Arabidopsis thaliana: one gene and its partners. The protein of the gene in region 4 interacts with the protein of the main gene of each other region in a pairwise test. Each region holds a gene or a part of one and is shown on either strand. Other genes may lie near its edges. The genes, in order: AT2G16030, HHP1, GRXC1 and HLECRK.

The links.
Region 1: the proteins of HLECRK (region 4) and AT2G16030 interact in a protein complementation assay, tested with the Arabidopsis thaliana proteins (one large-scale study listed by BioGRID).
Region 2: the proteins of HLECRK (region 4) and HHP1 interact in a protein complementation assay, tested with the Arabidopsis thaliana proteins (one large-scale study listed by BioGRID).
Region 3: the proteins of HLECRK (region 4) and GRXC1 interact in a protein complementation assay, tested with the Arabidopsis thaliana proteins (one large-scale study listed by BioGRID).

What each region holds. Positions count from the first base shown.
Region 1 is NC_003071.7:6,971,988-6,977,296, forward strand, and holds AT2G16030 (S-adenosyl-L-methionine-dependent methyltransferases superfamily protein), read right to left. Parts: upstream 3,021-5,309; 5' UTR 2,905-3,020; coding exon 2,209-2,904; 3' UTR 1,686-2,208; downstream 1-1,685. Other genes in the region: AT2G16018 (uncharacterized protein), read right to left, coding at 592-633, 1,130-1,531; AT2G16019 (uncharacterized protein), read left to right, coding at 1,185-1,295; AT2G16020 (uncharacterized protein), read left to right, coding at 1,369-1,599; AT2G16040 (hAT dimerization domain-containing protein / transposase-like protein), read left to right, coding at 4,030-4,336, 4,766-5,309.
Region 2 is NC_003076.8:6,838,757-6,844,893, reverse strand, and holds HHP1 (heptahelical transmembrane protein1), read left to right. Parts: upstream 1-1,947; 5' UTR 1,948-2,237; coding exon 2,238-2,539; intron 2,540-2,620; coding exon 2,621-2,696; intron 2,697-3,248; coding exon 3,249-3,869; 3' UTR 3,870-4,061; downstream 4,062-6,137. Other genes in the region: AT5G20260 (Exostosin family protein), read left to right, coding at 5,338-5,568, 5,656-5,807. UniProt on the Arabidopsis thaliana protein: May act as a negative regulator of abscisic acid (ABA)-mediated osmotic stress signaling and function in cross-talk between cold and osmotic signaling.
Region 3 is NC_003076.8:25,283,102-25,288,803, forward strand, and holds GRXC1 (Thioredoxin superfamily protein), read left to right. Parts: upstream 1-3,075; 5' UTR 3,076-3,250; coding exon 3,251-3,354; intron 3,355-3,961; coding exon 3,962-4,050; intron 4,051-4,133; coding exon 4,134-4,232; intron 4,233-4,330; coding exon 4,331-4,416; 3' UTR 4,417-4,593; downstream 4,594-5,702. Other genes in the region: AT5G63020 (Disease resistance protein (CC-NBS-LRR class) family), read right to left, coding at 151-198, 283-2,901; AT5G63040 (uncharacterized protein), read left to right, coding at 5,403-5,486. UniProt on the Arabidopsis thaliana protein: Has a glutathione-disulfide oxidoreductase activity in the presence of NADPH and glutathione reductase. Reduces low molecular weight disulfides and proteins.
Region 4 is NC_003074.8:22,049,501-22,055,753, forward strand, and holds HLECRK (lectin-receptor kinase), read left to right. Parts: upstream 1-2,620; 5' UTR 2,621-2,645; coding exon 2,646-4,631; 3' UTR 4,632-4,894; downstream 4,895-6,253. Other genes in the region: IQD13 (IQ-domain 13), read left to right, coding at 72-155, 262-726, 816-1,025, 1,111-1,227, 1,302-1,979; AT3G59710 (NAD(P)-binding Rossmann-fold superfamily protein), read right to left, coding at 5,720-6,115.

The DNA of each region.
Region 1 (5,309 bases), on a different chromosome or scaffold from region 4:
AAAATTCAAATATTACTCAAAAATCAGCGAATCGAATTTCTCTCTCGTTCCTCAATTTTCGTACAAATATATGTCTATTTAGCATCAATAAGAAAAACACAATCAACCAACAAACGCCGCTGATTATTACTAAAACTTTAATTCATCTATATTGAAATCAAAATTCAAATATTCCTCAAAAATTAGCGGATCGAAATTCTCTCTACTTTCTCAATTTTCGCACAAATCTATGTCTTTTTTTTTTTGGGCAAACTTATCTTATCATAAAAGAGAAAGAGTTTTAACCTCTACCAACAGAGGATACAACATAGCAACAACAAGTCGGAAAAGCTAAAGCATCGACAAACATAGAGATCAAACATAAGCGAAAGCTAGCAACAACAATGCTCAAAAAGAGACTTGGGGACAAGGGTGAACCCAAAGGTTCTAGCAAAGCAGCAACTAACCAAGAGCATCCAAAAAAGCAAACACCTTTAGCTTGGAAGACCTTGTCGAAACCACAATAAGGAGGAAACAAAGCCTCCAATGACACTAACGTCAAACAATCGGCAAAGGCTGAATGAGAACAGTCTTGAACAACAATCCTCGCTTCTACTTCAAGCAGATCAGTATTGCACACAATGCTCCCTGTAACTTTATCACTAAACACAAGTGAAGTATTTGAGAGGATAAAAAGCTCCATAAAGGAGAGATGAGGGCTATGAAATCCCCAATGAACCAGAAAAACTGGTAGGTTGTCTGAAATCAAAGCCCTCCGTCTAAGCTGCGAAGAGACAACTTTTAACAAAAACAAATCGAGATAGAATCCGCATACTGCAGTAAAAGATCGCATTAAAGCGATAGAGGTATTACAAGAGAGCACAAAAGTATCCAAAACATTCTGTCTAAGCTGCGATGAGACAACTTTTAACAAAGGCGAATTAAGACATCCACATATTGTGGTAAGTGATCGCATCAAAGCGATAGAGGTGCTACAAGAGAGCACAAAAGTATCCAAGCCAATCGAAACTAGATAAGCTACATATGAATTACACAAACCCAAATTCCACAAAACCAGAGCCACAAACTCTATCAACAACCAAACCCTTCCAATCTTAGAAGAAACATACGGCGAAGAGTAAGAGCAAACCTGAGGGAAATACTGAGGAAGAAAAGTGGTGTCGTCGGCGAGAAGGAAAACATCAATGAAAAAATCAGTGATCGAAGAGGTCGGTGACGGAGATTCAGATATGGCGGAGGAGATATGGAGAATGAGCGAGACCAAATCTGGGAGGGAAGAGGAGCTCAACGACTGAGCATAAGAATCAGCAAAAGTGAAGCAGATCTGAGAATCTGGTGGATCCGGTGGTTCCGGTGGAGTCGGCGGAGATGGAGGCTCTGGTGGTGGTGCACAAGGTGGCCTCAGAAGGAGGAAGGCGACCGAAGACGACGGTAAGCGACGAGAGTGGCTCGCATTCGAGAGAAAAAGGAAAGTCATTTCAAGTGAAAGACTCGCCGGAAAACAATTACGCCACCGGAAAAGTAGATTCATTGGAGAGATCTCACTTTAGTAGTAGCTACAATCAGGAACGCAGGCAGTCAGAGGAGCAACGCCGGTGAAGAGAACTAATCACGAACAAGGCTTGCGGCTACCTTGGTTATCTTGCTTGAGAGAAAATTTTTTTTTTTTTTTTTTTTTTTTTTTAGTAAGAGCCTTTTATTCACCAATAAGAATTTTGTTCTTTCTAAGTATACAAAATGACTAAAGAGTATTTTACTTAACTCACAAATAGTACACAGGAGAGCTCTAACAGATTGAAACGTGAACCTCACCTGGAAAGAAAGTACTTTCTTTCATCACACACTAAAGTCTTCAAAAGCTGTTGAAAGTTCTTTACTTGTTTCAAAAGCGACCAAGGTTCCTAAGAATTGTTTAGCTCAGAGACCAACTTCCAAAAAAAAAGATATTAACCTGTAGAAAGCTTTTGTTCTGGATCTTGAACTCGCAACAAACATCGCAGCTTCCCTCAACAAAACATTGCTTTAGGATCCAGAACAAATATGGTCATGGTCTTTGAACAATGTTACCACATAATCTGTTAAATCTCCTGCTTTTCAAACATGTAAGTGAATTTCAACAGAAACAAATCTAGCTCCACTCTATGAATATTGAAGCAGTTTTCTGAGAATCCGGAAAGGGCCTATAAATCAAAAGAGAAATAAAACACCTCAGGTAGGAGAGTCTTGAACTTTGAATAGTATACTAGTCTTTTTGGATCCTTCTAAGGTTACATTAGCAACATCAACGACCTTGGAGTTATGAAAAAGCCTAGCAATGTCTCTTACATCATCTCCACCACATTCATCAACCGAAACCACACAAAATCCGCCACGTCTCACCGTCCTCTCCATCTCCTCCACAAACTGCCACGGAAACAGAGCTTCAGCTAGATGTGCAGTGAAGGCAAAATCAAAGACACCGTCGAAAAACGGAAGGTTATGAGGATCAGCTCTTTTCACAAGAGGAATCGAATCAACCAATTCAACTGCGGTAACATCAGATAATCCGATCTGAGAAAGAGCCATCAGAGCATGGCCTGCTCCGGCGGAGAGACAGAGAGCTTTGGTGTGATTTTGAATGAATCCGAGATCGCGAAATCGGAGGAAGTAGGTAGAGAAGGAGTATAGACGAGATTTCCAAGCTCCAGAGGACCAGATTCGAGCGTTCTTCTTTGGGAGAGGAAGATGCTGACGAGGCGATGAATCGCATGTAGATCTCGGGAAATGCGTATGAGGTTTCGATGGAGCTTCTGGAGAAATACAAGTTTTTGGTGTCTGGAGAATCATAATTACCATTAATACTGTTCCGATGCTTAAGAACACTATTGATACTCTCTTCAGCATCTTCTCGACGTTTCTCTCCATCGTCGCCGATCAAAACTCCGATCAAAATATCTATGTTTATATAACATCAATAATAAAAACACAATCACCTAACAAACGCCGTTGATTGTTACCAAAACTCTAAATAATCTATTTTTGGAACGAAATTCAAATATTCATATAAGATTAGCGGATCGAATTTCTCTCTATTTCCTCAATTTTCCACAAATCTATGTCGATTTAGTATAATTAATCGAAACATGGTCAACTAACAAACGCTGCGAATTGTTATCAAAACTCGAATCCATCTATTTTTGGAATTAAAATTCAAATATTCCTCAAAAATTAGCAAATCAAATTTCTCTCAGTTCCTCAATTTTTACACAAATCTATGTCTATTTAGCATCAATAATTAAAACACAATCAACTAACAAACACCGCCGATTGTTACCAAAACTCGAATCCATCTATTTTTAAAAACAAAATTCAAATATTCCTCAAAAATTAGCGGATCGAATTTCTCTCTAATTCCTCATTTTGGCACAAATCTATGTATATTTAGCATCAATAATCGAAACACATTCAACTAACAAACGCTGCAGATCTAATCCATCTATTTTTAGAATCGAAATTCAAATCTTCCTCAAAAATTAGCGGATCAAATTTCTCTCTTGTTCCTCAATTTTCGCACAAATCTATGTCTATATAGCATCAATAATCAAAATACAATCAGCTAACAAATGCGCTGCTTTGTCACCAAAACTCGAATTCACTTATTTTTAGAATCAAAATTCAAATATTCCTCAAAAATCAGCGGATCGAATTTCTCTCTAATTATTCGATCAAGAAACAAATCCTACATTGTTAGCAAGTAGTGGGTATAATGACTGGAAAAATGCTGCGCAAAGGCTGAAAAGACATGAAACAACTCATCGTCATATTATTTCCATGACTCATTGGATGGAGCTAGAAGTGAGATTACAAAAGAGTAAAACAATTGATAACCATATGGAATAGGCAATTAAGAAGGAGAAAAAACATTGGAGAGATGTATTGGTGAGAATAATTGCAGTGGTAAAGACTCTAGCTAAACAAAATTTAGCATTTTGTGGAACTAAAGAGAATGTTGATGATCCAAATAGTGGAAATATTTTGGCATTTATTAGAATGATTGGAGGTTTTAATTCGGATATGAAGGAACACATTCGGCGGGCTAATAAAGGTGAAATTCATTGCCATTTTCCCAGTCATAAGAGTCAGAATGAATTGACAGAATTACTTGCTAATGATACCAAGATGATGATCTTAAAGAAGATTAAAGATGCGAAGTATTTTTCAGTCATTCTTGATTCCATTCCGGATGTTAGTCGTAAAGAACAAATGACCTTCTTAATTCGATGTGTGGATGTTTCAACGTGTTCACCTAAGATTGAGGAGTTCTTCTTGACGTTTCTACACATCAAAGATAAGAGGGGTGAGGGGCTTTTTAAGACTCTTCAAGATGCATTGATTGATCTTAAGTTGAATATTGATGATGTAAGATGACAAGCATACGACAACTGACAAAATATGAAGAGAAAACATAAAGGAGTTCAGAAAAGGTTGCTTGATATAAATCCAAGAGCATTTTACACTCCATGTGGATGCCATGGTCTTAACCTTGCACTTTGTGATATGGCTTCATCATCCAAGAAAGCTGTTTCTTTTTTTGGAATTGTTCAGCGAATACATTGTCTGTTTGAAGCTTCAACCAACAATTGGGAAGTGTTTAGAGAAACAGTGAATGGTATTACACTTAAACCGTTGTCTCAAACGCGTTGGGAAAGCCGCATTGATAGTCTTAAACCAATAAGATATTAAGCTTCAAAGATACAGATACAAGATGCACTTTTTTATTTGGCAGAATACACTGATAATCCAGGACACCGGAGTGATGTTGAGTCTCTTACAGAGAGTGAAACACATGGAATTGGAGGGTTTGAATTTTTATTTGGAATGATAATTTGGTACGATTTGCTAGCTGCTGTGAATATAGTAAGCAAATCCTTACAGTTTGAGGATATGGATCTTGAGGTTGCTATTTCTCAGTTAGGAGGGCTTGTTACTTATTTGAAAAACTACAAAGAAACAGGTTTCGAGAAAGCCAAAGTTGAATCTACACAAATTGCCATTGAGATGAAGATTGCGCCGGTATTTCCAAAAAAGTCGGTGAAAAAAAAAAAGCAATTTGTTGAGGATGTTGAGAAGATTGATGAAAGTAAGATTGCAGAGGAGAGTTTTAGAATTGATTACTTCATCAATATAATGGATCAAGCTATAATGTGTATTGAGATAAGATTCGAGCAATTCCAAGTATATGAACAAATATTTGGATTTTTGTTTGGTGTAAAGAGATTGAAGGTAGCAGAAGATGATGAGTTAAGGACATCGTGTATGAAGCTTGAAGC
Region 2 (6,137 bases), on a different chromosome or scaffold from region 4:
CTTCGTCGTACATAAGCTGCCGGAAATACCTAACTCTTCATATGGTTGTCTCTTTGACACCTACCGGATTTTACTTCATTTATGCAAAGTATTGTAATAATAAAAAGAAAAAGAGGATATTCCCGGTATTTTAATTAACAGAACAACATTCATATAAATAAAACCATTCCTTTTGATTTTAATTAGGCCTAGGCGACAAAATATATAATTAAGGCTAAATAGATTGCAAACACATGGCAGTTATATCCAAAAGTAAAGATTACAAAAGATGTCGAGAAGATAAAGTCATTTTCTTCTTCAACCATATTTAACAAAATCTTAAGTTATGAATTAGTAATAAACTATTTTCCCAAGAAACTTAAACACACGTATATGGAGTTTGCGTATATGATTGCGATTCCTTGGGGGTGTTTCAGGAGTGACCTCTTTGGTTAATGTTTTCCCAAAAAGCCTAAGCCAACCCAAATCTTGAAAGACCAGAAAGCTACAACTATGGCCATTTTATCAGCTTTAATTTTAGATAACAAAACTGAATTTTGTAAGAGAAAAAATAAAGGTATGGCTATGGGACGCCGAGATGTTAATTACTATCTACATAATAACAACATATTTTTTTTTTTGAATTTAGTGTTAAATTATATTCAAAGAAAAATAAACTGTTTATATACAGAAATGCAAACTTTTCTTAAAAATAGATCAAAAGTATATCTTATTTATCTTTGATTTTGTTCTTGCCTAAAAGTAAACCACACTTGGATTCCTCTTGCGTACTTCTCTTCACATCTTACCCTCAACGTGCTTAATCCATTCCTTATGTTTTTGTCTATCAGCCTGATTATCTTCTTCGTCCTCGATGGCGTCTGTCCATATCTCCTCTCATTTCTTTCTCTCCATATAGAATGTATCGTGTTTTGAAACACATACCGAAGTACAAACCTTGTAGTGGCGTCAAGATCTTTACTCACTAACTCCTTCATAATAACAGCATAATAACATGTATTACATGAATGCATGTCACAAACGTTTATAATTCCCTTTTTTTTTGCCAACAAAACGTTTATAATTCCTTGTATGAAGATATTTTCGTCTAATTTTTAACATCCTTTTTTAGTTGATTTCCAAATAAATTATAAATTTGTTCTAAAGTTTAGTCATCTGCCTAATTAATTAACTTGAAGTTCTATATTGCTAGAGGCATTTAAAGGTCAAGTCCTTTTCAAGTGGTAACTCATTGAAAATGACACTAATGTTTTTTGCAACATTTCACAAGAAAAAAATAGAAATTTTCATGATTTTGGCTTTTGTGGTCTACTCTTTTAAAAAAAGGAATCCTTGAAATGTTTGCATGCTTGTTTTTAGTATCATTATTTTTGTTGTCATCCACTTGATGGAAAGAGCTTTGACACTTCTTTACCACAATCACTTCATAACTCATAACTACATTAAATTCTGTTGTTATCCTAACTTCTTCTGTTAAAAAAATTACTTAGAATTACACATAAGAACTCAAAAATGCAAATTTTCTAAAATTACTCGTCTATTTCAAGTAAAGTAAACCCCTCACCAATCTTAATTTCACACAGAATTTAATGTTGATTGAAGCATAGTAAAAGTCTAAATGAGTCCTTATTTTTTATTTTTACATCAAGAGTACTATTTTGTTTGCATCACATATCTTATATCTTTCTTATAAATACAAACGATCCGGTGGGTACAAGGCATCAATCATGTAAAAGAGGTACAAGCCGGTAGTGAATTTTGAGTCGGTCGGTCTTAAAATCGCCTAAATTTACTCTTCTCGTATTCAAAAGATTTTCCATATCTCAAAAAGTAGTGTAAAACTGAATCACTTTTCTTGTTAAAAAAAAATACAATAAAAACAAACGTAAGAGAAAGGGAAATGAAATAATAATAATCAAAAAAGAAGAATTTATTGATAACCTAACTAACAACTAAAAGATGAAAACACGACACCAACTTCTACCTGCATACTAAAGTTTCGTCTTTAAATGTTGCAGCTGTCTCCTTACATTTCACATCTTCCTTGTTTCTTCTCTCTCTCTCTCTCCCCTCAAACTTAAATTCACATTTTAATACTTGTTACTTCAACTATAATAATAATAATAATCTTTCTTCATTATATATTTTCCTCTCCTCTCAGATCTTCTCTCTCACCATCTTCTCTTGAGATCAAGATTGAGTATTCTTGTCTCAAGAATCGATACTCGAGAGCTCTTATGGACCAAAATGGTCATAACGACGAAGCAGAAACAGTTTCATGCGGCAACGGCAACTGCAAAAGCAAGATCGTGCCTGGAGATGATCACGGTGGAGATGAGAGTAGTGGTACCAAGAGAAGGAAGAAGAGAAAAACGCAACAAAAGACAATGAAACGACGTGAATTAATGTCGTATTGTGAGCTACCGGAGTACATGAAAGACAACGAATACATATTGAATTATTACAGAGCTGATTGGTCCATTAGAGATGCTTTCTTCAGCGTATTTAGTTTCCACAATGAGTCCCTCAATGTTTGGACGTAAGTACACCAAATTTTACTTCTAGTTTCAATTATTTTTTCTTCGATTTTTTTTTCTAATAGTTTTTTTTTTTTGGACAGACATTTGATTGGTTTTATCTTCTTTGTGGCACTAACCGTCGCCAATATTATTCATCACGACGGATTCTTCCCCGTGGTAAGTGTCCTTTAATCAACACGTTTATTTTTGTTTTTGTTTAATAATCGCAAGTTTAGCCCGAATTTCAATTTATTCCCTCGAGATCCACATGCAACCACTATATTAACTTCAAATTAGTCAAGTGAATGTGTCAAGTAATTAGATATATACCTAATTGGTTTTGATTAACTTATCTTAATTTTCTAATGAATTGTTCGTTGCTATACCTGGATTTTGTTATGATGATTTTGAATAAGATATCAAAGATATATAGACATGAATCGAAATGATGAATAAAATCTTTGACAATATTACATTGACTATAATTTGTTTTCTGTAGTATATTCTAAACAACTCAATAAAATGTAATTCTTTTAAGGATTATATATCAGCTCAAATCTATTATTTAATCACATATCTAAACAACTGAAGAAAATGTATTTCTTAACTAGATTAGAAATCAACTCAAATATGTTATTTGATCATATATCTAGTATATGTTTTTTTAGTATCTCAAACTAGTCAATAAAAATGTAAAGCTAATGGTGGTATCAATGTTGATGATTGTAGGATGCAAAGAGTCCAGGGAATGTAACAAGATGGCCCTTCTTCGTTTTCTTAGGAGGCTCAATGTTCTGCCTACTCGCAAGCAGCATTTGTCACCTCTTCTGTTGCCACTCAAAAGAGCTTAATGTCTTCCTTCTCCGAATAGACTATGCCGGTATCACCGCCATGATCATCACTTCCTTCTTCCCACCAATCTTCTACATCTTCCAGTGCACTCCTCGGTGGTACTTCATCTACCTCGCAGGCATCACATCCATGGGAATCTTCACAATCATCACACTTTTCACCCCATCACTTTCCGCTCCCAAGTACCGAGCTTTCCGCGCTTTGCTCTTTGCCTCCATGGGGCTGTTTGGGATTGTCCCAGCTGCCCACGCGCTAGTGGTCAATTGGGGAAACCCGCAAAGGAACGTGACGCTCGTGTACGAGTTGCTTATGGCAGTGTTCTATCTTGTTGGAACAGGATTCTACGTAGGGAGAGTGCCAGAAAGGCTTAAACCGGGATGGTTTGATCGTGTGGGACATAGTCATCAGATCTTCCATGTGTTCGTTTTGTTGGGTGCTTTGTCTCACTATGCAGCTGCTCTCTTGTTCTTGGACTGGCGTGACCACGTTGGTTGTTAAACCATATATTTGTAATTCTTTTAAATATAATATTATTAATTTGTTGTATCGTGGTGAACAAAATTGTAATAACCCATTTGTTTTAAATTGAATTGTAATTCAACTTGTGTTAATTGTTATGTTTGTTGAATATGCATGATTTTCAGAAGTCTTTTTCTCTATGAGAAGTTAATGGTAAATCAAATATTTGCCACTGAATAGTTTCGTTTTTGAATATGATGACTTCAATTGTTTGTTTGCTTTATATCATGAAAGCAAACAGAATTGAAAAGACATAAAAAAAAATTGATGTAAACACAAAAGCAAAAATTGACGGTTGAAACAACCAATGATTTGTTTTATAAAAAAAAAAAAAAACCAATGATGCAAAGGATGGACTTCATGCATGGTTGATGGTTCTTTCATCTATCTACATGCGCACTTAGCTTAGTGTCAGGATTCCCTAACCACAAGAGAATTAATATGTATATATGCACCATCAAATGTTCATCAAAGTCTCCGCTTCCTTTTTCATTCTTCATAGCCGAGTCCTCTTATTATTGCTTCAAAGTTTTTTTGTTCTTTTTGATTTGATATAAATATATGTGTTACTAGGTTATACAGGTGTTAATTAGATGCAAGACAAGGATTGATCAGACATAAACATAATTAAAGACCAAGCTTCACTCTGTAACTAGACTCTTGATCGATAATGCGTGAACGGACCCAAACTCTTTTCGAATTTCGGAAGCCAAATGTCTTGGTCTTGCCGTGAGACTTGGTGTATATTTTCATATATCTTTTTTTTTTTTTCCTTTTGATGTATGAAACTTTTTTTATGTGTGGTTAATGAGTAAAACAAAGAATCGAACACCATCACCATTAGTTTAAGGTTGATGTGTGAAACATAGCGTACGTGAAACAGTTCTTCTAATTAACCCAATTTGATGTTATTGTTAAATTATCTTCAAGAGTGACAAATATACGACCAAACATGTCAGCTAAAGCTTTATAATGCCGGTTATGCTTAACCACCCCAAATTTGATTTGCCTGCCTCAGACCGGTTATAGCAGTACGGGAAGAACCGGTTTGATAATGGGTATAAAAGTTTTTCGTTTTTCTTCTTGCAACCAAACCCAAAATTGACCCTAAAATTAAGCATGCCATGATAGCTAGCTAGTAACGATCGACGGTGCCAAACCCCGAACGATATGAAGATTTACTTCTGATTCGGTAAACATTTTTATAAAGCAATAAATACAAAATTAATGTTATTTGCTTCTCAATTACTCTATTAGTCTTCCGTTTCCTTCCCTAATAGGATTTATTTTGGTCCATTTCTGCTTTAATTTTTTACCTTTCTAGTGATTTTATTTGGTAGACTTTTAGCTGGTTTGGATTCTCTACTATAATAGACTCTTATATTCCTCTACTACATAAGTATATACCCTAAATGTGTCACTGCCCAAGAAACTAGAGAAAAAAAATATGGAACAATCAAATTTTGTTAATATGAAACTCTCTCTAGTTCCAACTCTTCTTCTTCTTCTTGTTCTTCTCGTCTTTTATCAACATCACTCTTCTCCAAACCTAAACTCGAACGCTCTCTCTTCTTTCGTCGACGCTACGTCCCTCGCCCCATCTCCTTCACCGTCCCTGTCTATGGAGTTTAGTGTCGCCTCATCAAACCTTTCAACAATTTCGAGTCCTCCTGAAAATGTATGTTTTTATTAATTTACGTGATTTTGTTCATTTATGCTATAGATTTGTTTTGACTTTTGAATATATATAATTTGTTGTAATAAGAAAGGAAATAAGAGGAACATAATTGAGGAAGGTTTAGCAAAATCAAGATCCGCCATACGTGAAGCCGTGAGGTTGAAGAAGTTTGTATCGGACAAAGAAGAAACCTTTGTTCCTCGAGGAGCCGTTTACAGAAACGCTTTTGCATTTCATCAGTAAGTTTCTGTTTCCTTTTTTTCTTCGTTTCTCCTTTTTTTTTTGTCTTTCAAATTTTCATTTAAAGTTACTTTCCATACTAGGAAATAAATGTAATACTAAGATTTTATTGGGGGAAAAAAACTAGTCAATATGAAAATTATTAAGTATACAACTACATTTTATGCTAATGATATGACAATTTTCATTTAAGTTACCCATAATTTTCTCCCCAGATCATTTGGATTTCAAAGAAGAGAAATTCAAAATTTACCTCAAAAGTGTAACCGACATTCGACAATGATTTTTAAGCAAAATACATTTATTGTTTACATGAATAAATTATTTTC
Region 3 (5,702 bases), on a different chromosome or scaffold from region 4:
AAGTTGTTTCAAGAACCATCTGATATGGTTGAAACAACTTGAACCCCATACTTAATGAAAGTGAATTTAATAACATATGTTGAGTTGGAGCAATAACACTTATGTCTGAATATTTAAGTCACTCAATATCAGCAACAAGAAGTCATCGTCTCAGAAGGAAATCTCATAGCCGTCAGCGTCGATGTTCTCCGGAAAAGCCTAAAACATCCAAAAAAGAGAGTAAGATCCAAAGGAATGAATAATTAAAAAGAAGTTTTGGCAGATAAATGCGAGAGAAAGAACCTTGAGTGTAGGCAAGAAACGGGCTTTGGTGGCTTCATCTTCCCATTCAAGGATTTCTATCCATTTTTTATGTGCCTCTATGACAAGATCACCTCTTGGGACACTCGTGAAATTGAGTGGAAGTTTTCTCAGCTCTGAGCATCCATTAACCAAAATTTTCTGTAAACAGGGAAATGGCAGGGGACCCCGGTGGATGTGTTTTAGCATCTGAACATTTTCTAGCCGCAACTCTTTTAGTTCTTGGAAGGGAATAAGGTTTTGCTGCTCAGCTTTCTCTTTGTTTATTACTTCTTTCAGGTCACTCGCTGAAATTACTCGTAGAACCGTAAGATTTGGAGCAAAGATCAGCCACGTCAAATCCCGCAATCTTGTGCAGAATTCTAAAGACACTTGCGAGAGGTTTGGGAAGAATGTGGTAGTGGTTGGGATGTGCAGAGGCAAAACCGTCTCATTCCTCTTTACCTTGATCTCCCAAATGTCAGAGTCTGCAAAATGAAGCTCTTGAAGACTGTCCATAGTAGCAACAAATGAGATTACAGATGATTGCGGATTAAGATTCTCGATGCGCAGAGCTCGTGTACAGCTTGCCAACCTCTGGTTGCTAAGGAATTGTTCCAAAATAGAAGCAAGACCAAGAGTTATGGTTAAAGTTTGCAAGTTTTCCAAAAGCTGCAACTCGTTCAAAACACAGGGATCTTCAGGGAAACCGGAAACAAATAATCTCAACACTTTCAAACTTGTTAAACCTGATATGCCACAGATACTCTCTACCATCCTTGTGTACTCCAAATTCAGGTATAAAAGTTTCCTCAACTCTACTAAACCAGCAGGCCAAATCCTTATCCTTGTACGTGATAAGCTCAGATACTGCAATGAGACACATTCTGATATTTCATTTGGCAAATGTCTGAGATCCCTGTTCATTGATAGATCAAGAACAACTAGCATTGGCATCAACCGAAAGAAGCTGCTTGAGATATGCCCCAAGAAGTTCTTTCGGAGGAGCAAAGTTATAAGTTGGGGAGATTCAGGAGCATCACGTATACTTTCAATGTTGTTAAACATCAATGACACCCTTCTCGCAACTTTCCACTTCTCGATCTCAGGTATGTTCCTCGACTGTAAGCCCGCTTGCACTATAAAGTTTTCTTTTTGCTTTCCAAAATCAGATGCTATCCACAATGCCATTTCTCGGACCACATCATGCATCTTCACCGTTTCTTGATTCTCCTCCATCAATAAGCATGAACGAACTAGAATACCGATAATTTCATAACCTTGGTTCTCAGCTTTACCTTTGTTTCTATCTATGAATCCCTCACCTATCCAGTAATCTACCAAATCATTTTTCTCAATGTTATGATCTTCTGGAAACAAAGCACAGTACTGGAAGCACAATTTGAGCTGTTCACTTTTTAAATTATCATAGCTGTACTTTAGAATAGGTAGAATCTCATCTTCCATACCTGAAAACTCAGCTGCAGATGAAGTCAAAACGTCGATTGCTGAACGCCATTCTTGCACTGTCCTTTTATATGCCATTGTTTCACCAATGACGTTAAGGGCCAATGGTAGGCCGCGACATTTCTTAGCAACTGTTCTTGCGACTGTGGGAATCTCAGGGTGGCTCCCTAATGTGATCTCTCCTACTTTCTTAGTAAACAAATCCCACGCATCATCCGGGGCTAAACACCGGACTTCCATATCGCTATCAACTCCCATCCGCCCGCAGATTTCTTTCAACCGAGTGGTGAATACTATTTTGCATCCGTTTTCTCTACTCGGAAACGGAACTCCCACCTCTGTTAAATCCACTTTACTCCATATGTCATCCAATAACAAGACAAACCTTTTGTGCTTTAACACATTGTAAATGTTAGATGCTTTTATGTCCTCTGTTTTCTGTTTCCACTTCTCGTTATCAGACCGTAACTTCTCCCATATCTCATCTTGGATCCTCTGGATCTGTAACTCTTTGGAGACCACAATCCAAATCACAATATCAAACTCGCCCCCAACTCTAGAGAATCTATTGTTGATATGACTGAGAAGTGTAGTTTTACCTACTCCACCCATACCATGAAGACCAAGAATCCCAATCTCATCTTCCATTAGACGGTTCCACGCACTCTCAAGCATTGGATCCATAGCAACCATAGGTCTAGTAGGCCTCTCTTCCACTCTTGCTGCATCAACTCTCTCAGCCACCACAGCGAAATCTCCCTGATATCGAAGAACCTCAACTTCCTCTATCATCTTCATTACTCTCTTCCCATAACGGTAGCTTGAGACAAGATTCTTGGAACAAAACCCACAAAGACACAACCTTTGGACTTGAACAGATCTCATTCTGACGAGTTCGTTAACTCGAGGTACTATTGCTTCAACTTTTGAAACCCATCCTTGCACAACAGAAAGTCGTTGTAAACCTCGTCTTTCTTCAGACAAAATCTTTCTCAACAAATCTTCTCGTCTTTGCTCAATCTGCTCAAGAGCTCTCTGCAGAGCTGTCAGATTCTCCTCTAAGCCATGAATGTAATCTCCATTCCTGTTTAAGCAACTACAAACATTCTTCGTCAACTGATCACATGATATTGATACAGAGACACAACCTCCCATCCTGCGTTTACACAAAAGAAGAAGTAAACTTGTGGCAGAGAACTAGAAGAAGAAAAAGGATAAGAGCTGCTGAGTTGTGAAAATTGACAATAATCCAAACTCTAAAGTCGTCGCTATTGTAAACTTTAAACAATATTCTGAAAAGAGAAATTTCTACGAAAAAAGACTAAAAGAGTATCATTTCAGAAAGATAACTTTTTTTCAACGCAAATAACTCTTTAATAAATATTGACTGAGGTTTGATTGAAAGAGATAAAAACTTCATTTGCCAGCAAGATTGGCACAAAACTCGAGCAGAGGACATCTGTAGGAGTTGTGTCGTGGTCGTCTTTGGTTAAGAGAAGAAGAAATGGGTTCAATGTTCAGTGGAAACCGAATGAGCAAGGAAGAGATGGAGGTGGTGGTGAACAAGGCTAAAGAGATCGTCTCTGCTTATCCCGTTGTTGTCTTCAGGTTTGTTCTCGTTGAAATCTCCCATCTTTTTCATCTGGGTATTACTCTTTTCGTTCGTGATTATGAATTTGTTGAGAAAATTGGATGTTGTTGCCTTGAGGGGTTTTGAATTAGTCAAAAAGTTTGAGTCTTTACCATCAGGGGGTAGAGTCTGCTTCTATTTGACGCAGAGGCACCAATGGATCATTGTCTGCTTGTTTTGTTGTTTCCATCTGTGAAATTAGGTCGTGAATGAAAGATCGAACATCATCTTATATTAGTGATTCTCCATCCAATTCAGAGATTATTTGTGGGTTCCCTAGACGATTAGGGATGTGATCATGTAATATATACTGATAGATCCAGTTCTCAAATTTGATTCTGACTAGTCTAGAAATCTTTGAAGAAGCTAGAGTTTTTGAAGATTGATCCGTGCAAGCTCCTATGACTGATTTGGGGATGCCTTTCGGAGTTTTGAAATGAAGCTTAATTTGTTGTTGCTTAGAGTCTTGAGTTTGATTTTGCTTAGTCTTAAAAGGAACGTATTTCTTTCCACTTTTTGAGATGGTCTAAAGGTTACTTTTCAAATGTAATGTCTTAGCTCTGATCCATATTTTCTCTTTCGCAGCAAGACATACTGTGGTTATTGCCAGAGGGTGAAGCAGTTACTGACGCAGCTAGGAGCAACTTTTAAAGTACTTGAGCTCGATGAAATGAGTATGAAACCAAATCCCTGTCAATACCTGTATATTAATATATCTCAATGAACCTGAATTATCTCGATGCTATGTTTACTTCAGGTGATGGAGGTGAGATCCAATCAGCTTTATCAGAGTGGACTGGACAGACCACAGTTCCAAACGTCTTCATCAAAGGAAACCACATCGGTGGATGCGATAGTAAGTGAAAAACCTACACAAATTCTCTGCACAATAATGGAAATTCGGGTTGCCGGAAAAACTAACTGCGTTTTTCGTGTTGCTTCTATATTTTGCAGGAGTGATGGAGACCAACAAGCAAGGCAAGCTTGTGCCTCTACTTACTGAAGCTGGGGCTATTGCAGATAACTCTTCTCAACTTTGATGAAACTCGAAACTAGTGTGTGAAGAGTGTGTGTTGTGTTTAGATCATGAAAAAAGAGGTATCGTCACATACTCAATAAAGAAAGATCATTCCCGTTGTTTAATACAGAATATCTAAGTGTATACTTTTCATGTTGGTGTTTCGGTTAATGGAATAAAACTTGAGAAATCTGCTCTAGTTTCTTGCTCTAAATTACTGAAGATTACTGGTTGCATCCCAAGTTGACTTTGTAGCAGGCCGGTCAAGTAGGTGGATTAAGGCTTTTGGTTGAACCAAACTTATCTAGTAACCGGCCGTGTAGGTGCCTTAAAGGCTGAAAAACTAATATTAGCCAAATCGATCAACGGAAAGTTACGATTGAAAGAGAAATGAATATTCGAACAGCAGAAGTGCATTTTCACTGATTTGTGTAATCCAAATTCGGATTCGAACAGCACAAGTACATTTTTCACTGATTTGTGTAATCCAAATTCGGAGAACCAATGTCCAATGGCAATGAATAATGTCAATTTGGTTAATCTAGATTTATTATAAAGTATAGTGCAAAATCGTAGTTTAAGAGAACTTGTGGGGTCAATTAGTAAATATTATCTAGAGCCGGTTAAAGAAGAGAAACTGAGGAAACTGAATTTGACCAGAGAGTGTGTTCAAGCGAAGCGTTGTAGAAGAAAAGACAAAGTTTTGGAATAAGCGGAGCAAAACCTAGACAGGCCCGTGTAAGATGGAGATTTGTTTTAAAGATTTATCAAATCAATAACTACTAACCTAAGCAAGTAACGAAGCCGTGGCTCTCACAAATTAGCCCAAATCCTCAAATTTCACCAAAAGTCTTCGAATTTATTCTCCAGTATCAGTTTCTCTGGGAAAAAGTTCTACTTTTGCGGACTCTGAGGAAATCTTTTGTATCTGTACACCATTCATGGGTTAATCCGATTAAACCCGTGTTGCTCCGTTAGGGTTTAAGAGAATTGCCGCCTTCACCGGCCATGGCTGCTAAACTTGTGTCCTCCTCGGCTTCTTCTTTGGTTCCATCCATTTTCTCGCCGTTTCAACCTCGGAGTTCCTTTCAGGTGACAATTTCTTAATTTGTAGTCAGCCTTTAGAGTTTCTTCTATGCTGCATCTGTGTTTCATGCTCCCAATGTATTGTCTCGACAGATGTTTCTCCCAATGTGGTTTGAGACATTGAACAAATATTCATTTGATCTAGTAGGAAAATTTAGTTGACACATTTGAGTATACTAAAATCAATGTGTCTGAAGTGGACTTTAAGATATAGTTTTTGCA
Region 4 (6,253 bases):
TTTGCTTGAATCAAGAAAAAAAGTTTATCTTCTGTTTCTTGTTATGAACAGTTGAAAGGAATGTTCAAGAAATGGGGAAGAAAGGAAGTTGGTTTTCTGCAATCAAAAGGGTGTTCACACCACATTCCAAAGAGAAGCAGCTAAGCAACAACAACGTAAGAAATTCTTTTAAACACTTTCATTTTGTTTTATAAACTGAAATGATAAATTTTGAGATTGAAGTGTATATACATTTTGGTGTTTGGTTTTGTGTTTTGAAAGCAAGAACCAGAGATAAAGAGTGAAAACAAAGAAAAGAAGAAGAAAGGTTTTGGAAAGAAACTAAGGAATGGAGAAACCAATTCATTTCTTCCCATTTTTAGACAGCCTAGTAGTATCGAAAAGATCTTGTCTGAAGCCGAACGAGAGCATAACCTTGTCTTTAGGCCACCAACTCCCACTGATCGAGCAAATTCATCATCAACCTCTGTTGCATCTCCTCTTGTTAGGCCTGCTTCTCCTAAAGTGCCTTCTCAAAGATATGTCTCTTCTCCAAAACCCATTTCCCCAAGAGTTGCTTACCCTCAAGTCCATTATCCGAAGCCCCCTTCTCCAAAGCCGCCTTCTCCAAGAGCGGTTTCGCCTAGGATTGTGCAGCGACGTGAGTTTGTGCATAGACCAGAGCCAAGTCTATTGGTCAAAAATGCTTATGCAATTAAGATTCAAGCAGCTTTTAGAGGTTACATGGTAATAATGTAAAACATTCTTGATTCTGTTTTGTCACTATTAATCAAGCAGTAAAATTCATAATTTAGGAGATGGAAATTTGTTTGCAGGCAAGGAGGAGTTTCAGAGCTTTGAAAGGTCTAGTCAGGCTTCAAGGAGTGGTAAGAGGACACAGCGTGAAGCGTCAAACGATGAATGCTATGAAGTATATGCAGCTTTTAGTCCGAGTCCAAACACAAGTCCAGTCACGTCGCATCCAAATGCTCGAAAACCGAGCTAGGAACGATAAAGATGACACGAAATTAGTCTCTAGTCGTATGGTAAGTGCTCTCATAAAACTTAGTGAGAAAAGAAGATCTCTCTCAGTTATTCATTTTGACATTAATTATTGTTACTTTCCTGCAGTCTGACGATTGGGACGATAGCGTGCTGACAAAAGAAGAAAAAGATGTGAGGCTTCATAGGAAGATTGATGCAATGATCAAAAGAGAACGGTCCATGGCCTATGCTTATTCTCACCAGGTATGCAATCATGACTCATCTATTCTTCTTCTTACTCACCATACCAATGTTATATATGCTTGTTTCCTATGCAGTTATGGAAAAACAGTCCAAAGTCTGCTCAGGACATTAGAACAAGTGGGTTCCCACTTTGGTGGAACTGGGTGGACCGGCAGAAGAATCAAAACCAACCGTTCAGGCTAACACCAACACGACCGAGCCTGAGCCCTCAGCCTCAATCTAGCAACCAAAACCATTTCAGGCTCAACAACAGTTTCGACACGTCAACACCCAATTCATCAAAATCCACATTCGTTACTCCATCTAGACCCATTCATACTCCGCAACCATACAGTAGCAGCGTCTCAAGATACTCACGAGGAGGAGGACGAGCTACACAAGATTCTCCTTTTAAAGATGATGATAGCCTCACAAGCTGTCCTCCATTCTCAGCTCCAAGCTACATGGCTCCAACAGTCTCAGCTAAAGCAAAACTAAGAGCAAACAGCAATCCAAAGGAGAGAATGGACCGTACACCGGTCAGCACAAACGAGAAGAGACGAAGTTCGTTCCCTCTTGGTTCGTTCAAATGGAACAAAGGGTCATTGTTCATGAGCAACAACAGTAACAACAAGGGTCCAGGTTCTTCTTCTTCTGGTGCTGTGGTGCTTGAGAAGCACAAAACCCTCAAATCCGTTGGAAATTTGAGTATTGATTCTACTGTTTCGATGCCTGCAACAATTGGGAGGAGGGCTTTTAACAGATTTGCGTGATTTGTTTTTCTTCTTTTTTTCTGTGAAAAAATCTGACCTTTTTTTCCCAGTTGATTCTTCATTGATTTGTTTATCTTACATCAATTTTATGAGTGCTGATGATTTTGAGTGTTGTTTGTGTTCTTGATTACGAATTTTACAGATGTAACATAATAAGAAAAAGTAAACAACAAAAACAGAGGATTTGGATTGTACAGTATGATGTTCTGTTTTTCTGCTTGTAAATCCCTTATCTGTCTTTTGGCCCAAGTAACAAACTTTAACCTTTTCTTTTGGGCCAGACTTCAACTATAATACGTTTTGTAGGCTATATTTTTTCTTTTAACTAGATTCGAATTGGATGGCTTGGGTATGCGGTATCAGTGATTACTTAGCTAAATTCAAATCATCAAGAAATGTTCACATGATTTCCTGCAACATGTCAAAAGTCAGATCAACTTAGTTTGATAAGTTATGTTCCACGAAATTATGTGAAAATTGATTTGTTTTCTTCTTTAGTTTGGTGCTTTCACACTGTTAATCCACAAAGCCTTGTTGTAAATCTTGACCAATGGCCTAAAAGTCAAACCTTTGACTTTTCAGTGTTTCTTCTCAACACTCAAGAGATGGATGATAATATTCACAGATGATCAAAATCTTTCACACAAACCTAAAAAACACCCACCAATGTCTCGTGAACTTATTATTCTCTGCCAACCAATTCTTGTTCTGTTCCTTACTCTGTTTTACAATTCTCATGGCTACTTCGTCTCACAAGGATCTGTAGGAATCGGCTTCAACGGTTACTTCACTTTAACCAACACCACAAAACACACATTCGGTCAAGCTTTCGAAAACGAGCACGTTGAAATCAAGAACTCATCGACAGGTGTCATCTCATCTTTCTCAGTCAACTTCTTCTTTGCGATCGTCCCTGAACATAACCAGCAAGGCTCACACGGTATGACTTTCGTCATCTCTCCCACAAGAGGCCTTCCCGGAGCTTCCTCCGATCAATACCTCGGAATCTTTAACAAAACAAACAACGGTAAAGCCTCGAATAACGTTATAGCTATCGAGTTAGATATTCATAAAGACGAAGAGTTTGGAGATATTGATGATAATCATGTTGGGATTAATATTAACGGTTTGAGATCTGTTGCCTCTGCTTCTGCTGGTTACTATGATGATAAAGATGGAAGCTTTAAAAAACTTTCTTTGATCAGCAGAGAGGTAATGAGGCTTTCCATCGTTTATAGTCAACCTGATCAACAGCTCAATGTTACTTTATTCCCTGCTGAGATCCCTGTTCCGCCACTAAAACCGCTCTTGTCTTTGAACCGAGATCTCTCGCCGTATTTGCTTGAGAAAATGTATCTTGGATTCACTGCATCGACGGGGTCAGTTGGAGCAATTCATTACTTGATGGGTTGGTTAGTTAATGGTGTAATCGAGTATCCGAGATTGGAGCTTAGTATACCAGTCCTTCCTCCATATCCAAAGAAAACATCTAATAGAACGAAAACTGTTTTAGCCGTCTGCTTAACGGTATCTGTGTTTGCTGCGTTTGTCGCTTCGTGGATCGGTTTCGTCTTCTATTTGAGGCATAAGAAGGTTAAAGAGGTTCTTGAAGAATGGGAGATTCAATATGGACCTCATAGGTTTGCTTATAAGGAGCTTTTCAATGCCACAAAGGGTTTCAAGGAGAAACAACTTCTTGGTAAAGGAGGCTTTGGTCAAGTCTATAAAGGAACACTTCCGGGTTCTGATGCAGAGATCGCTGTGAAGCGGACTTCTCATGATTCAAGACAAGGGATGAGCGAGTTTCTAGCCGAGATATCGACCATTGGTCGTCTCAGACATCCAAATTTAGTCAGGCTTTTAGGATACTGTAGGCATAAAGAGAATCTCTACTTGGTGTATGACTATATGCCTAATGGAAGCCTTGACAAGTATCTAAACCGTAGCGAGAATCAAGAACGGCTTACTTGGGAACAACGTTTCAGGATCATCAAAGATGTTGCAACTGCTCTACTACACCTGCATCAAGAATGGGTACAAGTCATCATTCATCGAGATATCAAACCAGCTAATGTTTTAATCGACAATGAAATGAATGCGAGGCTCGGGGATTTCGGACTGGCGAAACTGTATGATCAGGGATTCGATCCTGAAACATCTAAAGTAGCGGGAACATTCGGATATATCGCACCAGAGTTTCTAAGAACAGGAAGAGCAACCACAAGCACTGATGTTTACGCCTTTGGGTTGGTAATGCTTGAAGTAGTGTGTGGTAGAAGGATAATTGAGAGACGTGCAGCAGAAAATGAAGAATATCTTGTGGATTGGATCTTAGAGCTTTGGGAAAATGGGAAAATTTTCGATGCAGCAGAGGAAAGTATACGTCAAGAACAAAACAGGGGACAAGTTGAGCTTGTTTTGAAGCTAGGTGTGTTGTGTTCGCATCAAGCTGCATCGATAAGACCGGCTATGAGTGTGGTAATGAGGATTTTGAATGGAGTTTCACAGCTACCAGATAATCTTCTTGATGTTGTAAGGGCTGAGAAATTTAGAGAATGGCCTGAGACATCAATGGAATTACTACTACTTGATGTGAATACATCGAGTTCATTGGAGTTAACCGACTCTTCTTTTGTCTCCCACGGCCGCTGAAATTTTAAGTTTACCACTGATTCTTTGTTTGCTATGAAGATGTATCACAACTGAGATTATTACACATTGTAATACACAGCCGAATGTTTTTTTTCCTGGTATGTACAAGAATAAGACCACACCGCCTCCTCCAAACATTTTTTTAATCCTTTTGTATTTGATAACAACTCGATTATTAATCTTGAAAATCAATTCTTTTTCTTAGAGACCATTGTCCGGTAAATCCTATGAAATTGAATGGTTAAGAAATCTTATAATACTATACTGTTTCCTCTTTGATACGCCAATTCGTTAGGAGTATCTGCAGAAATTATCCAAATAGAAGAACGTGATCAAACAAAGCTCCGATTATGTTTCTATGGTTCATGAATTCAAAGAACCCTAAACAGATGTGATATAGATATTTAATCTACTATTTCAAAACCTTTTTCGAATCCAAGTTGCTGTCAAAAGTCCAATCTACTGCCTATACTTTTAACGTTGCCTGTCCATACTTATCACCAAAGTTGCAAAATTCAAACCTATAAAATAAACCTAAAGAGATCTTTGAAACCTATGAAGACGATGAAAACAATCGGAAAACTAAGAACATTAAAGATGTGGATTTGAAAAAGAATGTAGCGACTTGTTCGAGGCCAACAATCAAGATTAGAAAACTTGATAGGCACGGAGAATCGCTATTTGTTGTTGCCAACCTTCAAGGCAACTTACGCCATTTTTATTTTGACGTCATTGCTCTGCAAATTGGCTTTTATTTAAAAATATAATTGAAATAAATTACTTAGATACACGATAAAAAAAACACTACAAAGCCATGAAAGACCTCCTAAAGAAAAGAAACTACGACTTTGAATCGGACTTGAAGATGATTGATAGTGTCCAAGCCTTTACTTATTTATATAGGAGAAGCAGAAGCGGCTGCAGAGGAAGAAGAAGAAACCCTAATTTCATTGTTTTTATCAAAGCCACGAAATCGAAATTAATGGGCCAAAAAGCCTACTTTTGATTCAAAATGGGCCCAGATCCACAAAGTAGACTAACGATGATGTAATAAAATATGCGTGCAGGTGAAGAAAGCTATAATAGAGTCACAACTTGGAAATAAGTTTTTTAGACTCTACGCATATATAGAACTTTCCGGTAGCCAGCTTCTCCGGAGGAAGCAACACCAACTTGGCTACAATGGCAGCAGCCTCATCCGCCGTGTGAGTCCCCTGACCACCGGTCATAGACGTACGAGTGAAACCAGGGCATAAACAATTCACACTCAGTTTTTTGCCGTCGTAACGTCGAGCCAAAACCCTAGAGTAAGCGTTTAAGGCCAACTTTGAGATGGCGTAGTCCGGCCAGTTCTCCGGCCATCCTTGCTTCTCCCAAGTCCCGCTCTTCACGTCCTGCAGAAATTGAGTCAATGTCGCATCGATTTGTTCATTGGTAAGGTCTTCACTTTCTAGGATTCGTCTTATACTAGGGCTTCTCAGTTTCTGTATGCCAAGAAAACAAATCCAAATGAGTCAATTATATATATGAAGTTAGTGAGTATTATTGATTTTGTATTCAGTATAACAGATAAATATATGAAGATCTAATAACTGGAACAAATTTTACTAACATTTTATATA